Arabidopsis thaliana: one gene and its partner. The protein of the gene in region 1 interacts with the protein of each later gene in a pairwise test. Each region holds a gene or a part of one and is shown in the gene's direction. Other genes may lie near its edges.

Evidence for each region.
Region 2: the proteins of TCP20 (region 1) and WRKY28 interact in a protein complementation assay, tested with the Arabidopsis thaliana proteins (one study listed by BioGRID).

What each region holds. Positions count from the first base shown.
Region 1 is NC_003074.8:9,954,717-9,962,163, reverse strand, and holds TCP20 (TEOSINTE BRANCHED 1, cycloidea, PCF (TCP)-domain family protein 20), read left to right. Parts: upstream 1-3,218; 5' UTR 3,219-3,409; coding exon 3,410-4,354; 3' UTR 4,355-4,520; intron 4,521-4,604; exon of another isoform or gene 4,605-4,623; 3' UTR 4,624-4,788; downstream 4,789-7,447. Other genes in the region: YSL6 (YELLOW STRIPE like 6), read left to right, coding at 1-541; ARP2 (actin related protein 2), read left to right, coding at 6,380-6,421, 6,711-6,821, 6,940-7,074, 7,163-7,234, 7,314-7,392. UniProt on the Arabidopsis thaliana protein: Transcription factor that binds to the site II motif (3'-TGGGCC/T-5') in the promoter of PCNA-2 and to 3'-GCCCG/A-5' elements in the promoters of cyclin CYCB1-1 and ribosomal protein genes.
Region 2 is NC_003075.7:10,056,827-10,064,273, forward strand, and holds WRKY28 (WRKY DNA-binding protein 28), read left to right. Parts: upstream 1-4,387; 5' UTR 4,388-4,681; coding exon 4,682-5,112; intron 5,113-5,225; coding exon 5,226-5,369; intron 5,370-5,483; coding exon 5,484-5,865; 3' UTR 5,866-6,067; downstream 6,068-7,447. Other genes in the region: KCO6 (Ca2+ activated outward rectifying K+ channel 6), read left to right, coding at 1-26, 567-720. UniProt on the Arabidopsis thaliana protein: Transcription factor. Interacts specifically with the W box (5'-(T)TGAC[CT]-3'), a frequently occurring elicitor-responsive cis-acting element.

The sequences.
Region 1 (7,447 bases):
TTTATCATCTGCAAAGTCCATGTTTGTAAGCCAGCTCGTGGGAACCGCAATGGGCTGTGTAATCGCTCCACTCACATTCTGGCTGTTCTGGACTGCCTTTGACATTGGAGATCCCAATGGTCCGTACAAAGCACCTTACGCAGTGATTTTCCGTGAAATGGCGATTCTCGGAATTGAGGGCTTTGCTGAATTGCCTAAGCACTGTTTGGCTCTTTGTTACGGGTTTTTCATAGCAGCTTTGATTGTGAATCTCTTAAGAGATATTACACCGCCTAAGATCTCTCAGTTCATCCCGATCCCAATGGCAATGGCTGTCCCATTCTACATTGGAGCTTACTTCGCCATTGACATGTTTGTTGGGACTGTGATATTGTTCGTATGGGAACGGATCAACAGGAAAGATGCAGAGGACTTTGCAGGTGCAGTAGCATCAGGACTGATCTGTGGTGATGGGATCTGGACTATACCATCCGCAATCCTTTCAATCTTAAGGATCAACCCTCCCATTTGTATGTACTTTGGACCGTCCTCAGCAAGATAGAGATGCCACTGTGGTCATAATCGCAACCGCAACTGTGAGTCATACAAAAGGAAACTTATCCGAGAGTCTTGTGGCCGTCAGAATCGAAACAGTTGTCTTCATATGTTGTGTAGATATGTTTAGTATCTCAGCTCGCAAGAACAAAATGTTGTTGCAAATCTCTTCAAATGTTTTAGTCAATGTTGTTGTATGTCCCCGGGATGTTGTCTCCTTGAATGCTTTCATTCACAAGCTCAAAGAGTTTTACGAACATTTGCCTTGTTCAATCATCATAAGGAGTGAATGCAGATGAAATAATGTACTGAAACGATTCCAATTAGCCTCATATTGATAGTTTAAAATTACCAAGTTTAAAACTACTACAACTTATCATGCAAGTAAATGTTTTAAATTTAATATATACTATGATGCATGCCACTCTCGTAAAATAAGTTAAGTCCAATGATGTGATCATCAAATGTATGGTAAAGTTGATATATGTGAAATTCTGGTTTTATATAGTTGTTAGACTAAAATAAGAAGATATGAAGAACAATTTCATTAAAGAAGTTAAATAAGGTTATCTCAATGTGTTAAATACATTGAAAGGTTGGCGTAGTGGAATTATTAATCTTAAAAACTGCTAAGCAACTGTAAATTTGTAATGATGACACTCCAATCACAATTTACCATAATTGGGGCACGATTGGTGGAGATAATCGTGGCACAAACTCTTAAAAATCATTGAGAAAAAAACAATTTTAAATGAAAATAATGGTGAGGGTAAACATAAATGAAGGATATGGACAGGTTGAATTAAATGGATACAGATTATCTTGTAACAATGTGTGTCCATTTTATTCATTTTGTTAGATGAAAACATCATTTCTATATAATTAAACAAATAGAATACTGTGATTTTGAAATTGAAAATTAAATGCATTGATTGTATTCAAGTTTTACAAAATGTTTGCAGAAGATCGTCCACAATATTTAACCAAACCATAAACAAATATGGGCAAGCAAAAAATAGGTGGTCACGCAGCTTTTCTGCTTGACTGAACACAACCCTATTGACGCGTTCTAGTTTCCATTGAGAGTCTATCCTTGATTGCCAACCAAGAGATGAAAGCAAATGGAAGGACAGTTTTGAGTTTTGGAAGCAAACTAACTTTTTTAACGACGTCTCTATTAAGGAAGTTGGTAGCTCAAGCTACACTTTATCACATTTAGATCGCGAATGAACAATATCCTTCAAAACTAAATGTCTCTACGACTCTACCTCACCTCACCACTTTCAAGTTCATTGATTGTGAGATCCGCAACACAATCTCTTCACGATGACAAGTAAATCATTTTTGAAACGTATAATGCAACTTTGAATTAGATGATCACACTTATGTGATGTCTTCAATATTGTTACTTTGTTTTTTATTCTTTTATTTTTGCAAAGTTGCAAAAACTGAATGTTTTAACTATTATAATTCTATAAACTTTTTTTTATTTCTTTTGAACAAATGAACTGTAAATGTTGACACACAATTACTAAAGCAGGAAATCAATCGACGACGACTGGACATGTGTTAGTGTATGATATTTAAACGTGATTATGGGCGTCATTAATATAAGACTAATGCCTTTAAGTAAAGCTAGAGAGTAGTTAACTCATTAAGATTAATTGAAGTCTAAGACTTATGAGTAGTTATGATGAAATGAGTAAAAAAAAAAGAGAGATGGTATAATGTTGTCGGTCCATAAATGATGAAACTCTCAAACTCATTCAATACCTTTAGATCTTGCCCTACAAGCGAACCAAACCCTGTGTGGACCGGCTAATTGTCAACATGTCATTGGTCCACTTGATGGACTAGCTAAAAGTACTTCCTTCTTAGGGAAGACGTTGACTTTGACTACTGTTGTAGTTTTTTTTTTTTTTTTCGTTTAGGACAGAATGAGAGATATATACGAAGCAACAATGTATTCAATAGTACTTACTCTTTTTCTAAAATATTGATTTTCTGAAAAAAAATTATGTTCTAAAGGGATTAATTTTCTACACATTGTAATTATTTAATAATAATAATTTACAAACTTTAAAAAGTAATTATTGAGATTTTTTTGAATATATCAACTGTTATTGGATTGTTACCATCAGGCTAAAGCACGATCTTTAAAATGTGTTGCAGCAAGAGGAACTCTCATCTCATGAGGGACATTTTTGAATGTTAACAACTCTTCCGTCGTGCTAATCCAATCTAGGAACTCTTCTGTTTGTAAAGTACCATAAAATTCAGGTAAATCTAACTTGAAACCTGATTTCCACATATAATTATGCCCCATGTAAAAATAGATTTTAGATCCGTCACTGTGTATCTAGTGGGAAATGAAGTGGCAGTTGTTAGACTCTCAATTACCTTTGGATTAAATGTGAAAGTGAAACGGTCACACTACTTTTTCTTTTATGTGTCGTTTTGTTACTTTGCTGTTTATGGTCTTAAAAATTGCATTGTTTGGTGAGAAACCTATGAGACTCACTCACTCGCTATCTCTCTCTGTTATTTAAAGTACCAAACCAAAAAGTAAACAAGAATAAAAAAGAAAAAGACAAAACTAAAGTCTCATACTTTTAAAGTGTTTTCTCATTTCTTTTTTGACCAATTTCGAGATCAAAAGAAACATTTTTTCTTTATTCTCCTCAAATTCTACATCGGGATCTTACTGGGTTTTTTTTTAAACATTAAATTCGTAAATTCCCAAAGAAAAAAAAAAAAACTCGATACCTTTTGTTTTACAAAGTCGTCACAATTCTGAAACCCTTAATTGAATCCAAGAGAATTTTTGATTAAATTAAGTCTCTGGACCCTGAAGTCCCCACACAAGCAAGCTTCGATGGATCCCAAGAACCTAAATCGTCACCAAGTACCAAATTTCTTGAACCCACCACCACCACCGCGAAATCAGGGTTTGGTAGATGATGATGCTGCTTCTGCTGTTGTTTCCGACGAGAATCGCAAACCAACAACTGAGATTAAAGATTTCCAGATCGTGGTCTCTGCTTCCGACAAAGAACCAAACAAGAAGAGTCAGAATCAGAACCAGCTTGGTCCTAAGAGAAGCTCTAACAAAGACAGACACACTAAAGTCGAAGGTAGAGGTCGACGAATTCGGATGCCTGCTCTTTGTGCTGCTAGGATTTTTCAATTGACTAGAGAATTGGGTCATAAATCTGATGGTGAAACTATCCAGTGGCTGCTTCAACAAGCTGAGCCATCGATTATTGCAGCTACTGGTTCAGGAACTATACCGGCCTCTGCTTTAGCTTCTTCAGCTGCAACCTCTAACCATCATCAAGGTGGGTCTCTTACTGCTGGTTTAATGATCAGTCATGACTTAGATGGTGGGTCTAGTAGTAGTGGTAGACCATTAAATTGGGGGATTGGTGGCGGTGAAGGAGTTTCTAGGTCAAGTTTACCAACTGGGTTATGGCCAAATGTAGCTGGGTTTGGTTCTGGTGTGCCAACCACTGGTTTAATGAGTGAAGGAGCTGGTTATAGAATTGGGTTTCCTGGTTTTGATTTTCCTGGTGTTGGTCATATGAGTTTTGCATCTATTTTGGGTGGGAATCATAATCAGATGCCTGGACTTGAGTTAGGCTTGTCTCAAGAAGGGAATGTTGGTGTTTTGAATCCTCAGTCTTTTACTCAGATTTATCAACAGATGGGTCAGGCTCAGGCTCAAGCTCAAGGTAGGGTTCTTCACCATATGCATCATAACCATGAAGAACATCAGCAAGAGAGTGGTGAGAAAGATGATTCTCAAGGCTCAGGTCGTTAAAAGGATTGGGTTTTTTTTTGTATCTTCTGGATTTGAAAAAGCTTTTGGCTTTTGTTTTGTGATAATATTGTTGTAATTTGTACCACCATGGAGAAGAAAAAGAAAAGGTTATATACTGAGTGAGAGTGATAATCTATACTTATTGAAACCTCTGCAAAAACACAAGGTGAGTTCAATTTGAGGATGATGATACAAGAGAGTGGAATCTTCAAACCTTTTTTTCCGAGTGTTTGTGACAATTTTTTGGCAGTTGTTGTTTGAACTTGCAGGTGGAGTTTGTTGAATACACACAGCCAGAGATTTTTTTGTTTGGAGTCTTTAAGTTGCAGAGAGGCTTGTTTTTACTTGTTCTGAGTTTTGTTGCTTTTGAATATCAAGAAACCGGCTTTTTTCAGATAGTACAACAATGGTAATGTATACTTGTCTTCCATCACATATTTGTAGAATGAAGATTTATAGCTCTCTTTTGCTCAGTATTCTTCTATTGCATCTCCAAAGATTGTTCTCTTTCGTTCGATCTCTCTGAATGAGTTAAAGACTTTCGTTTAGAGTCGAGTGTAAAACACTTCGCTGCATGTTCTGATTCAGTGGCTTTGAGCTGCAATGGATTTCACAATGATGGTAACGTTGTATTCTTTAACTCTTACTTACATTCATGTTATTGCCCTGAGTGTGCCGTTAACTGTGGGAAGGTTTTGAACTAGGTACAAACCCTTCGCAGTTGGGAACCAAATAAGCTGGTATTGCATTTACTCTTTGCCTTGCAAGCTTTTTCAAAGATAAGTATAAATTGTTCAACGAGTCAAAAAGTTTATATCATTTTACTCATTTTGACTTGAATTTGACGGAACTAAGGAAAGAGACTAAGAGAGAGAGAGAGAGAGAGGTTAACGAGTCAAAAAGTTGCTTGATCTCTATGATTTGTCCAACCAATCAAAACAAGTGAAGAAAATTCAAAAACATTCACAAAGCTCTCTCTTTCCCTTTTGAGCAATGATCTAACTCAACACTATGGTCCAAATACAACTCCAATAGATCCATTCCAAAGCCTCCCTCATGATGAGAGCGTGACTTAAGTTGCTTACTCTTTTAATTTCCATTCTCTTCGACACATTGGGCAAGGAGCTTGACTTGTCTACGAATTCTTCCATTTCAATATACAGAAGTGAAGATGAAACGCGTGGTTACTTTGAGGTCTAAGACATGCAGTTTTGTTCTTACCAGAACTAAATAAAGCAGCTTAGCAATGTTCCAGTAAGCATGAGAGACAGTGTGTGTCCTAATTAACCTATATAAAAGTGAAAACATGAAAGCTGATTTTACATCGAACAAGTCATTGGACTTGTGTGTGTGAAACTGTAAAAGTCTTATCTTATTTTTACTATATTGGTGACTGATACATAACATGTTGTGACAGGAACTTAATTTACAACATGTTATGTAGAATAAATTTTAGTATTGAGACAACATAGAGACAACAAAAAAACCTAGAAGAAGATTGATATCCCAACTTCGTACCAAAACCCTAGTAACATCTTTCTCGTAACATAACCCTAATAGTGATTGAAATCTCTGATCAAGGGATTGCATGATGATCATTTACTAATTCTTAGTTTAGATCATCTAGAAGATTGTTATACAAGTAAACAGAATTATCTGTTTGACCTAATATGGGCCTGAGATAGCCCATCAATACCCACAACCAAGTTAACTCCATCTCAATAATTCGAGAAAAGGGGTAACGTATTTAATAATTTTTTCTATGTATTGACCGTTTGCACTACGTGACGTTTTCACGTAGAGTAAACGACGCGCATTCTTATAAAGAAACGAGGAAACAGCTGCTTTTTGTTTGTCGAAGAGCAAATATGTTTTCTCGATCGCGACCAAACAAGTAGAGAAGAGTGATTCTTCGCTTCGATTCAAAGACAGGTTTTTTCTTTTGTTCCCTGAGAGATCGAATCGAAGAAATCGAAATTTTTGTACTTCGATAAAAATCTGTAGTCTCTATAGAAATCGGAGAAGATGGACAACAAAAACGTCGTCGTTTGCGACAACGGCACCGGTGTAAGCTTCTTCTCTCTGATATCTCTTGTTTCAGACTCCGAACTTTAGTTGAATCTGATCAATCATTCCATTCCTATCTGGGTTTCGTTAAAAATCTCACTTTTGAGTTTGTTTAGGATCTAGTTGTCTTAAAGTTGCAAAATTTGAAAACTTTCATGTCTTAGCATAGTGTAAGATCGTGTTTCTATTGAAATCAAAACTAATACATGAGAAATCTCATAATGGGTTGCTTAAGTTTTGAGTTTCTTGTGATGGGAACAAATTGTGAGCCTCTTATTAAATTTTTCAGTATGTAAAATGTGGATTTGCTGGAGAGAATTTCCCAACGTCTGTTTTCCCCTGTGTCGTGGGAAGGCCATTGCTTCGGTATGAAGAATCACTCATGGAGCAACAAGTCAAGGTTTGTAGATATGTGACTTTAAATAAGCAAAACCAGATCATTGTTAGCCTTTTGAGTTTTGACTGAGCTGATATGCGTAATTCGGATTCATATACGTTTTGGTTTTGTTTCATTTTAGGATATAGTTGTTGGGGAGACTTGCTCTGAGCTCCGGCATCAATTGGATATAAATTATCCTGTCCACAATGGTATTGTGCAGAATTGGGATGATATGGAACATGTTTGGGATCATGCTTTCTATAACGAATTGAAAGTAAGTTTCTTCTCCTGCTTCTTCTTGCCATTTTTGTCTCGGTTCCATGTGTCTTGACTTACTCTTAAACCCTTTTTGTTATTAACAGATCAATCCATCTGACTGTAAGATATTGCTCACGGATCCACCTCTTAATCCGTCCAAGAATCGTGAAAAAATGGTAAGATATTATCAAGTCTTTGGTTAAGAGTTGCTTTGATGGTTGTTGGAGCAGTGATTTATTTTATGTTATAAAACAGATTGAGACAATGTTTGAGAAATACAATTTCGCTGGCGTTTTCATTCAAATCCAAGCCGTTTTGACTCTCTATGCTCAAGGTGCTTATGGAGACTATTGAAGGTTTAGATTTTCTTTCGTGTGTTTAGATAGTCA
Region 2 (7,447 bases), on another chromosome or scaffold:
GATATTGATAACAATGGCTGTGTGAGGTAATTTGACTCATTCCTTATCCATATTATATGCTCTGACACACTCCTTAAGGTTTTAAGAATCTTAAACTGATATCTGAATTAACTGTGTGATGCTTATGTTTGTTAAAATATCCATTGTGACATCCGTAATGTTTATGCATTTCTTAGAAGTCATCCAAAAGATTTTGTCTTTGCTATTTATTATTAGTCTTTTAATTTTCGTTTGTGTAGAGGATCTTTGAAAACAAAAACATTCATAGCTCATTAGCTAATTAGATTCTTGAAGGTGTTGGATTTCTAAGTTAATTCATATTCTGCACTTCTTCTTATGAATCTTTTTGTTCAAGAACATAGTTTGTGGTCTTAGGCTAAGTTGAAGATCTGTGAATGTGTGATGCGAAAGCATCGTGTCATTGTATGTTTTCGGCTTGATATAAAGTTTGAATGACCATGAAAGGGAGGCTTAGACGCATTTTCGGATTTAACACAGAGAAATGCTTTGCTTGTATACTCACTCAAACCTGAGATATCTTCTGGTTTTTTTCTTTGTTTTTGCAGTAAAGCAGAGTATGTGATATACAAACTGAAGGAGATGGAGAAAATAACCGATAAGGACATACTACCAATCTCCAAACAGTTTGACAAACTCGACCGATGCAGCAACGGAAAGATCACTCTTTTAGATCTCTTGGAAGGTGGCAGTGGCGATTGATCAATCCTCTGCAACTTTTTGTTTTAGCTTAGAATTACAGTTACTAATTACAACGGATCAACGATCCTAATGATGCTAATGGTGATGATGAGGAGTCCAGTCTCCAGTTTATGTAAACTGGTTTGGACCGATATTATGTCTTTGGTCTTGTCTTGCATAATTGGTTAAGCAGGATTCACTGATTCACATCACCAAAAGTTATCCTCTCCTTTCTCACCCAAGATTATGAAGAGGAATTGTGGGATTTTATCTTAACCGGTTTGATGTGTTGCCAAATGGTTATGTGATCGGTTTACTCTGGTACGATGAGATTTTGATGACCCCCTGTAATTTTTGCAGATATATGGGCTCAAGCCTCAAGGTATATAAATTTGGTTGGATAAGGTTTGATCCAAATTTGTTGGTCCAGTATGCAAATAAAACTGTAACTTTCAAGTTCCAATCTAAAATATGTAAATTCGAATTTCTTATCAACAGTTTTAAAAGAGTTTTACTGATACATCATCAGCTTTTTCATATTAGTTCTTTTCCAGTTAAAGAGAATTTCAATTCGCATTGTAATGTAATCGACCATGTATAGTTACTCAACATATTGATGTCCTAATATCAATACCAATTAATGAAAAATTTAGTCTTTTCGGTTATTTGTTTTTAAATGCATTTTCTTATTCTTGATAATCTATACACAAATATCATATATATTAAATTAATCAGCTGTAACAACTCAAATTTCAGAAAGAGGATAACGTGTGTGAAAGAACAGAAAATACAAGAGATTCCTTTTTATTCATATATATTTTATATATACTAACATGAATAATAATGATAAAAATGTCACACATGACAAACCTAACAACAAACCTGCCCCAACTATTCTATTCCAAAGCTAAAGTCAACAATTTCACTCTCTTTCTTTTTATTCTTCTTTACGTTAAATTGAAACTTAAATAATGTAATAATTATGTGTTTACTAGAAAGTAGAAATAAATTTCATAATAATATCTTTATATGTTAGGCACAAATCCCCAAAAATAGGTCAGACATTTCAACTGCAGACAGATACAGTTATGTATACGTGTAATTGTAAGCTAATGTTTTTTTTTCACTTACAGGTTACAAATTACATAGAGGTCCACGGTCTAACTTTGGGTAATTTAAATGTGGGGCTTATGGATAAGACAACGCAAACGATTAGGCACCAATTACGGCGTTTAGTTTCTGCCTAAATTAAAACTATAAATGTGTATTAATATATATCTTAGTATGCATTAATGTGGTTAGGTACGAGAAACAGATTCATATACCACCATTATGGCATTATTATAGTATGCAATAGAAGATTGAATATATATTTGACTTCGAAGATTGAATTTTTTTTGGTTTAGAGATTATTCTATTACTCATATGGAATCTGATAAGAGTTGCTGTTTCTCTTTCCCAAATTAAAGTATGTATACGCCTTGATGTTCTTGGTCAAATGTGAATGGTTAATGTCTCTTTTGGTTCAAAGAGAATTATTCGGTCTTCTTAATTATTTCGACCAAAGATTACTAGATTGGTATTGATTTTCTCGAAAACGTTTTTCATCGTAGTTTGTTTTGACCAAAAAGCGTTAAAAACATGGAAATTATTATGCCCTTCTTTCATTGATCAAATTTTTATATACCAAAGCCATAGTATTTTGATTCATTCCAATATTTTATACTGAGTATCACTGAGACACTGACTATATATATGTATGTATTCTCGCGCTATCCGTAATATGCTAGGTAATATAGCAGTGATTATTAAACGCATTAAGATCATCATACGTAATTCACGATAATTTGTAATCCAAAAACTTAGGTGTGACCAAAAAAAAAAAAAGAGTTGAATCCTTCACCTACCAAAAAAATGGATTGTGACCAAAAGACCATGACATATCAAATTTTTAGTGATTAAACCGATTTCTTCCAAGATGCTAGTATTTGTTTTTATCTTGCCATATTTTAGTGATTTTTCATAGTAGTAAATATATCACTTTGACCACATTTAAAGTTGATGTATGTCCCCTTCGCATTTGTCATGTCGGTTAGGCATTATATGTCTCCTTTTTTCCTGATCATATGCTCCTATCAATTTCTACAAACTCATGAAAACGATTACTAGCTATATAAATCAAGCATAGGGTTCATAACATGCAACTTTAATTCCCCACAATTATCGCAAATAAAATTGTATATAAAGGGTTTATCGTAATTATCATAATGTTAACATTTTCATAATATAGATACTTTTGGTTTGACCATCTTTTCCTTAATATAAGTTAATAAATTAAGATGCTCTTTTACTTGCAAACAGAAAGTTCTAATGTGAAAAAGAAATTGTTATTGCGTAATCATGATCTCACTTATCCGTCAGCATAAGTAACGATCCACTCCACATAGCTACGTCACTTAAAGTCCCATAGTAACTAATTTTCTTTGAATGTTATAGCAAATTATTAGCAATGTATGATTCTTTGGGTCAAATCTTACACTAAAAACATGAAAATAATTTGAATATCAAGAGATTCATATATTCATATTTTATAACCAAAATATGTAGGGTCTAAATTATTGCTTCTTGACTAGGAATTACCTATGAATAATTATTAAGGTTCGTGAAACAGTGAGGGAAAAAGAAGAAGAAGAAGAGAAGACAGTCTCTAGCACGTGCCAGGTCATGTGTCGGCGACGGTCAAATGCCGGTGCAAGTGTTTCCACGTGGCAGCCTAATACTCCCAAAATATAATCTTTTGTTTTCGTAAACTTTTTTCCCTTTGAATCTTTGACTGCCTCTTACTGCATTCTTCACACCAAACGACCGGCCGGTGACTGAGTGTTTCCGGTTTCCGGTAACACATAGTCTTCGCTGACTAAGACTCCTTCAATAACGTCGTCTTCTTCCACGCGCCGTTTAGTCGTAGCGCGTGTTATCAAGCCCGTCCACTATATATGCCACGTATAGAGTGGGGAAGAAAATGAAGGTGAGAACTTTTCATGTCCTACTTTTTGGCCCCATAAAAAAGGCAGCACACAAAAATAACCCAAAATTTATGCATGTTTATCAAATGTGGAAAAATAAAAGTAGAATTTTAGGAAATTTATACGAAGATACAATGCAAAGACTCGAAGAAATGTATTTAGTGGTATAGAAATACTTGCAAGTAAGCATATTCTGAATTAAAAATATAGAAGCTTAAGTATGTTTCCTCACTAGAAGCCAGTTTTGCAGCTCTATTTTTGTCAACTTAGCTTTACGTAAAGTTCTTATTGCCCGAAACCAAAAAGTCATTCAAAAGGCATAACATGATATCACAAATAAAATTATCATCTACTTCTATATCTTATTTCTTGAATATATATATATATATATATACCTATCTATTAAGTTGCTTATCGTTCACATTATTAATTTATAATTAACTTTATGTACATTTGACTGATAAACATTAAAAAGACTTATTTGAACCTTTTTGTATATGAATTCAAAATTATACTGATAAAATAACGTGAGGAAGAAATATTATGAAAGCTTTTAACATATAAATTAATTTGCATAGGAAAAAATTACACAACTTAAATTGAGATTAGTTAAGAAACAAGAAAAAACAAAGTTGATAGAAAAATAAAAGTATTAACACGACTTTGGATTCACACACGTACCATTGAATTATATCTCAATACACTTTTACTTAATTAACTTATTTCCAAACCAAGTAGCCAAAATCATATTATTCTTCTCTCTCTTCCTTTTTTGAGTTTCAAAATGCATAAATACGAGAACGAGAGACGAAGACCAAATTAAAGTCCAAGCACCAATCTAGACCTCTTAGGAAAAAAACCTAAAAACCTAATCCCCAAACCTAAAAGGCTTATCTCATCTCTTCTTCTTTGTCTTCTTTACTCTTTTTTTACCTCTCTCTTCATTGTTCTTCACCATGTCTAATGAAACCAGAGATCTCTACAACTACCAATACCCTTCATCGTTTTCGTTGCACGAAATGATGAATCTGCCTACTTCAAATCCATCTTCTTATGGAAACCTCCCATCACAAAACGGTTTTAATCCATCTACTTATTCCTTCACCGATTGTCTCCAAAGTTCTCCAGCAGCGTATGAATCTCTACTTCAGAAAACTTTTGGTCTTTCTCCCTCTTCCTCAGAGGTTTTCAATTCTTCGATCGATCAAGAACCGAACCGTGATGTTACTAATGACGTAATCAATGGTGGTGCATGCAACGAGACTGAAACTAGGGTTTCTCCTTCTAATTCTTCCTCTAGTGAGGCTGATCACCCCGGTGAAGATTCCGGTAAGAGCCGGAGGAAACGAGAGTTAGTCGGTGAAGAAGATCAAATTTCCAAAAAAGTGTAAGTCATAACTCTATAGGAACTTTTATGCAAAACATTGAACATCATTTGATCTCTTCGTTTAGGAATTTAGTCTAGCATGTGTATTAATTTTATAGTGTATTATTTTTCAGTGGGAAAACGAAAAAGACTGAGGTGAAGAAACAAAGAGAGCCACGAGTCTCGTTTATGACTAAAAGTGAAGTTGATCATCTTGAAGATGGTTATAGATGGAGAAAATACGGCCAAAAGGCTGTAAAAAATAGCCCTTATCCAAGGTAACTAAACTTTCCCTTTTTATTTTTTGAAATTGCTAGGCTTGTGAAAATTTGTGTTTAGAAAAATGCGACCATTATAGTGTAACTGATAATAGCCAATGGAAACGAAAATAGGAGTTACTATAGATGTACAACACAAAAGTGCAACGTGAAGAAACGAGTGGAGAGATCGTTCCAAGATCCAACGGTTGTGATTACAACTTACGAGGGTCAACACAACCACCCGATTCCGACTAATCTTCGAGGAAGTTCTGCCGCGGCTGCTATGTTCTCCGCAGACCTCATGACTCCAAGAAGCTTTGCACATGATATGTTTAGGACGGCAGCTTATACTAACGGCGGTTCTGTGGCGGCGGCTTTGGATTATGGATATGGACAAAGTGGTTATGGTAGTGTGAATTCAAACCCTAGTTCTCACCAAGTGTATCATCAAGGGGGTGAGTATGAGCTCTTGAGGGAGATTTTTCCTTCAATTTTCTTTAAGCAAGAGCCTTGATCGATCATTGTTATAACTACATATATTATATATATTGAGAGAGAGAGGTAGAGAAAAAAAAAACTTATATGTAACTTAAGATCTTATTTTGTCTCTCTTATTTGCATGTACATATTTTTTCATGAAAGAATGAGACAGTTGGGCTTGCTTATATATTTGATGATGTTTAATGTGTTACCGTTGGATACATATTTTCGCTTCCATTTTGTGAAATTATATTTTCTTCTTTTGGTTAGTTTTTTACATTATGATATTATGCTGTGTAATTTGTACTATCATATGTAGAAGCGAAAAAGACATAACTCTAGCTAGGAGCCTACGATTGATCTCCCAAATGTTGATTATAATATATACATATGCTTTTGGGAAACTTAAGTATTAAATTGACAAGTTCAAATGGTCAACTTCTTACTGATTTATATCTTAATAATCAAAAATTACAAAAAAAAGTTACAAGCTCATATGTGATGAAGAAATTAGAATCGGAAATTTAATGTAAGGGTGTTGATATAAAAGGTTCAAGTTGTAGACGACGAATATCTATGTGTGTGAACAAGTAAAGAAAAAACAAAACAAGTTGAGATCTAACCTTGTGTCCTAAGAGAATGGACCCGAATAAAAGATTTGACTGCTTCTGCTTTCTATCTTATCCACACACACATGGAAACATAGACTGTGGACCAATAATATTACCCCTACCATCAAAACTGAAAACAATGTTTTAATTCAAAAAACGAAAAATAAAAAGAAAATACTAAACAATAATAAAATTATATATCAAATCTCAGATTTATAAAGAGTGAATGAATTACAAAAAAAATTTGAAGGAACGAGAAGGATGCGAAGAAGAACCTTAGAAAAAGATCTCTTTATATATTAACTTGTAAATGTGTTTGTGCAAATGAAAGTATAGGCAACAAAGTAATAGTGGATTCTCTATATATAAGTATTTTATGAGGAACAAGAGGACCAAATTTCTGAATTAATAAGCAATACTATTATTTGGGAGCGCATTTGTGTCATATACCAAAGTCATTGAATTTAGCTGAAACTTGAAATCATGAGATGAACGAGTCATGAGATCATAGAACATGTGGATTTCTGAAATTTCAACATGCGCGCTCCAATGTAACTTCAGTTTCCTATTTGAAAACTATTCTTAAATTTTGAAATTCAACTGATATGTCCAATCTCGAATCTTTTCATTATCAATTATCATACTCAATTTGTATTAAATCACTTCAAATACAGTAGTTTTTTTTTTTTTAGTTTAAAGACGTTTCTTAAAGGTTTTAAATGTTATGACACATTCACAATTATCATCACTGGTAAAATTTGCATTGGAGTGTTCTTGGAAAACATTCTTTCAATATAGTCATAAAATTACGTTTGACATATAATTCTTACAAACCTAAGGTATATTCGCAAAAATGTTATAGCAACTTTGAGAAAACATATTAAATATATACATAAATCCTTTCTATGTTCTAGATTTTGACTAAATATGTACATGTTTTGACTGAAGAATGATTTGGCCTACACAGATAACTATTAAAATGATCATATACCAAGTCAAATCATA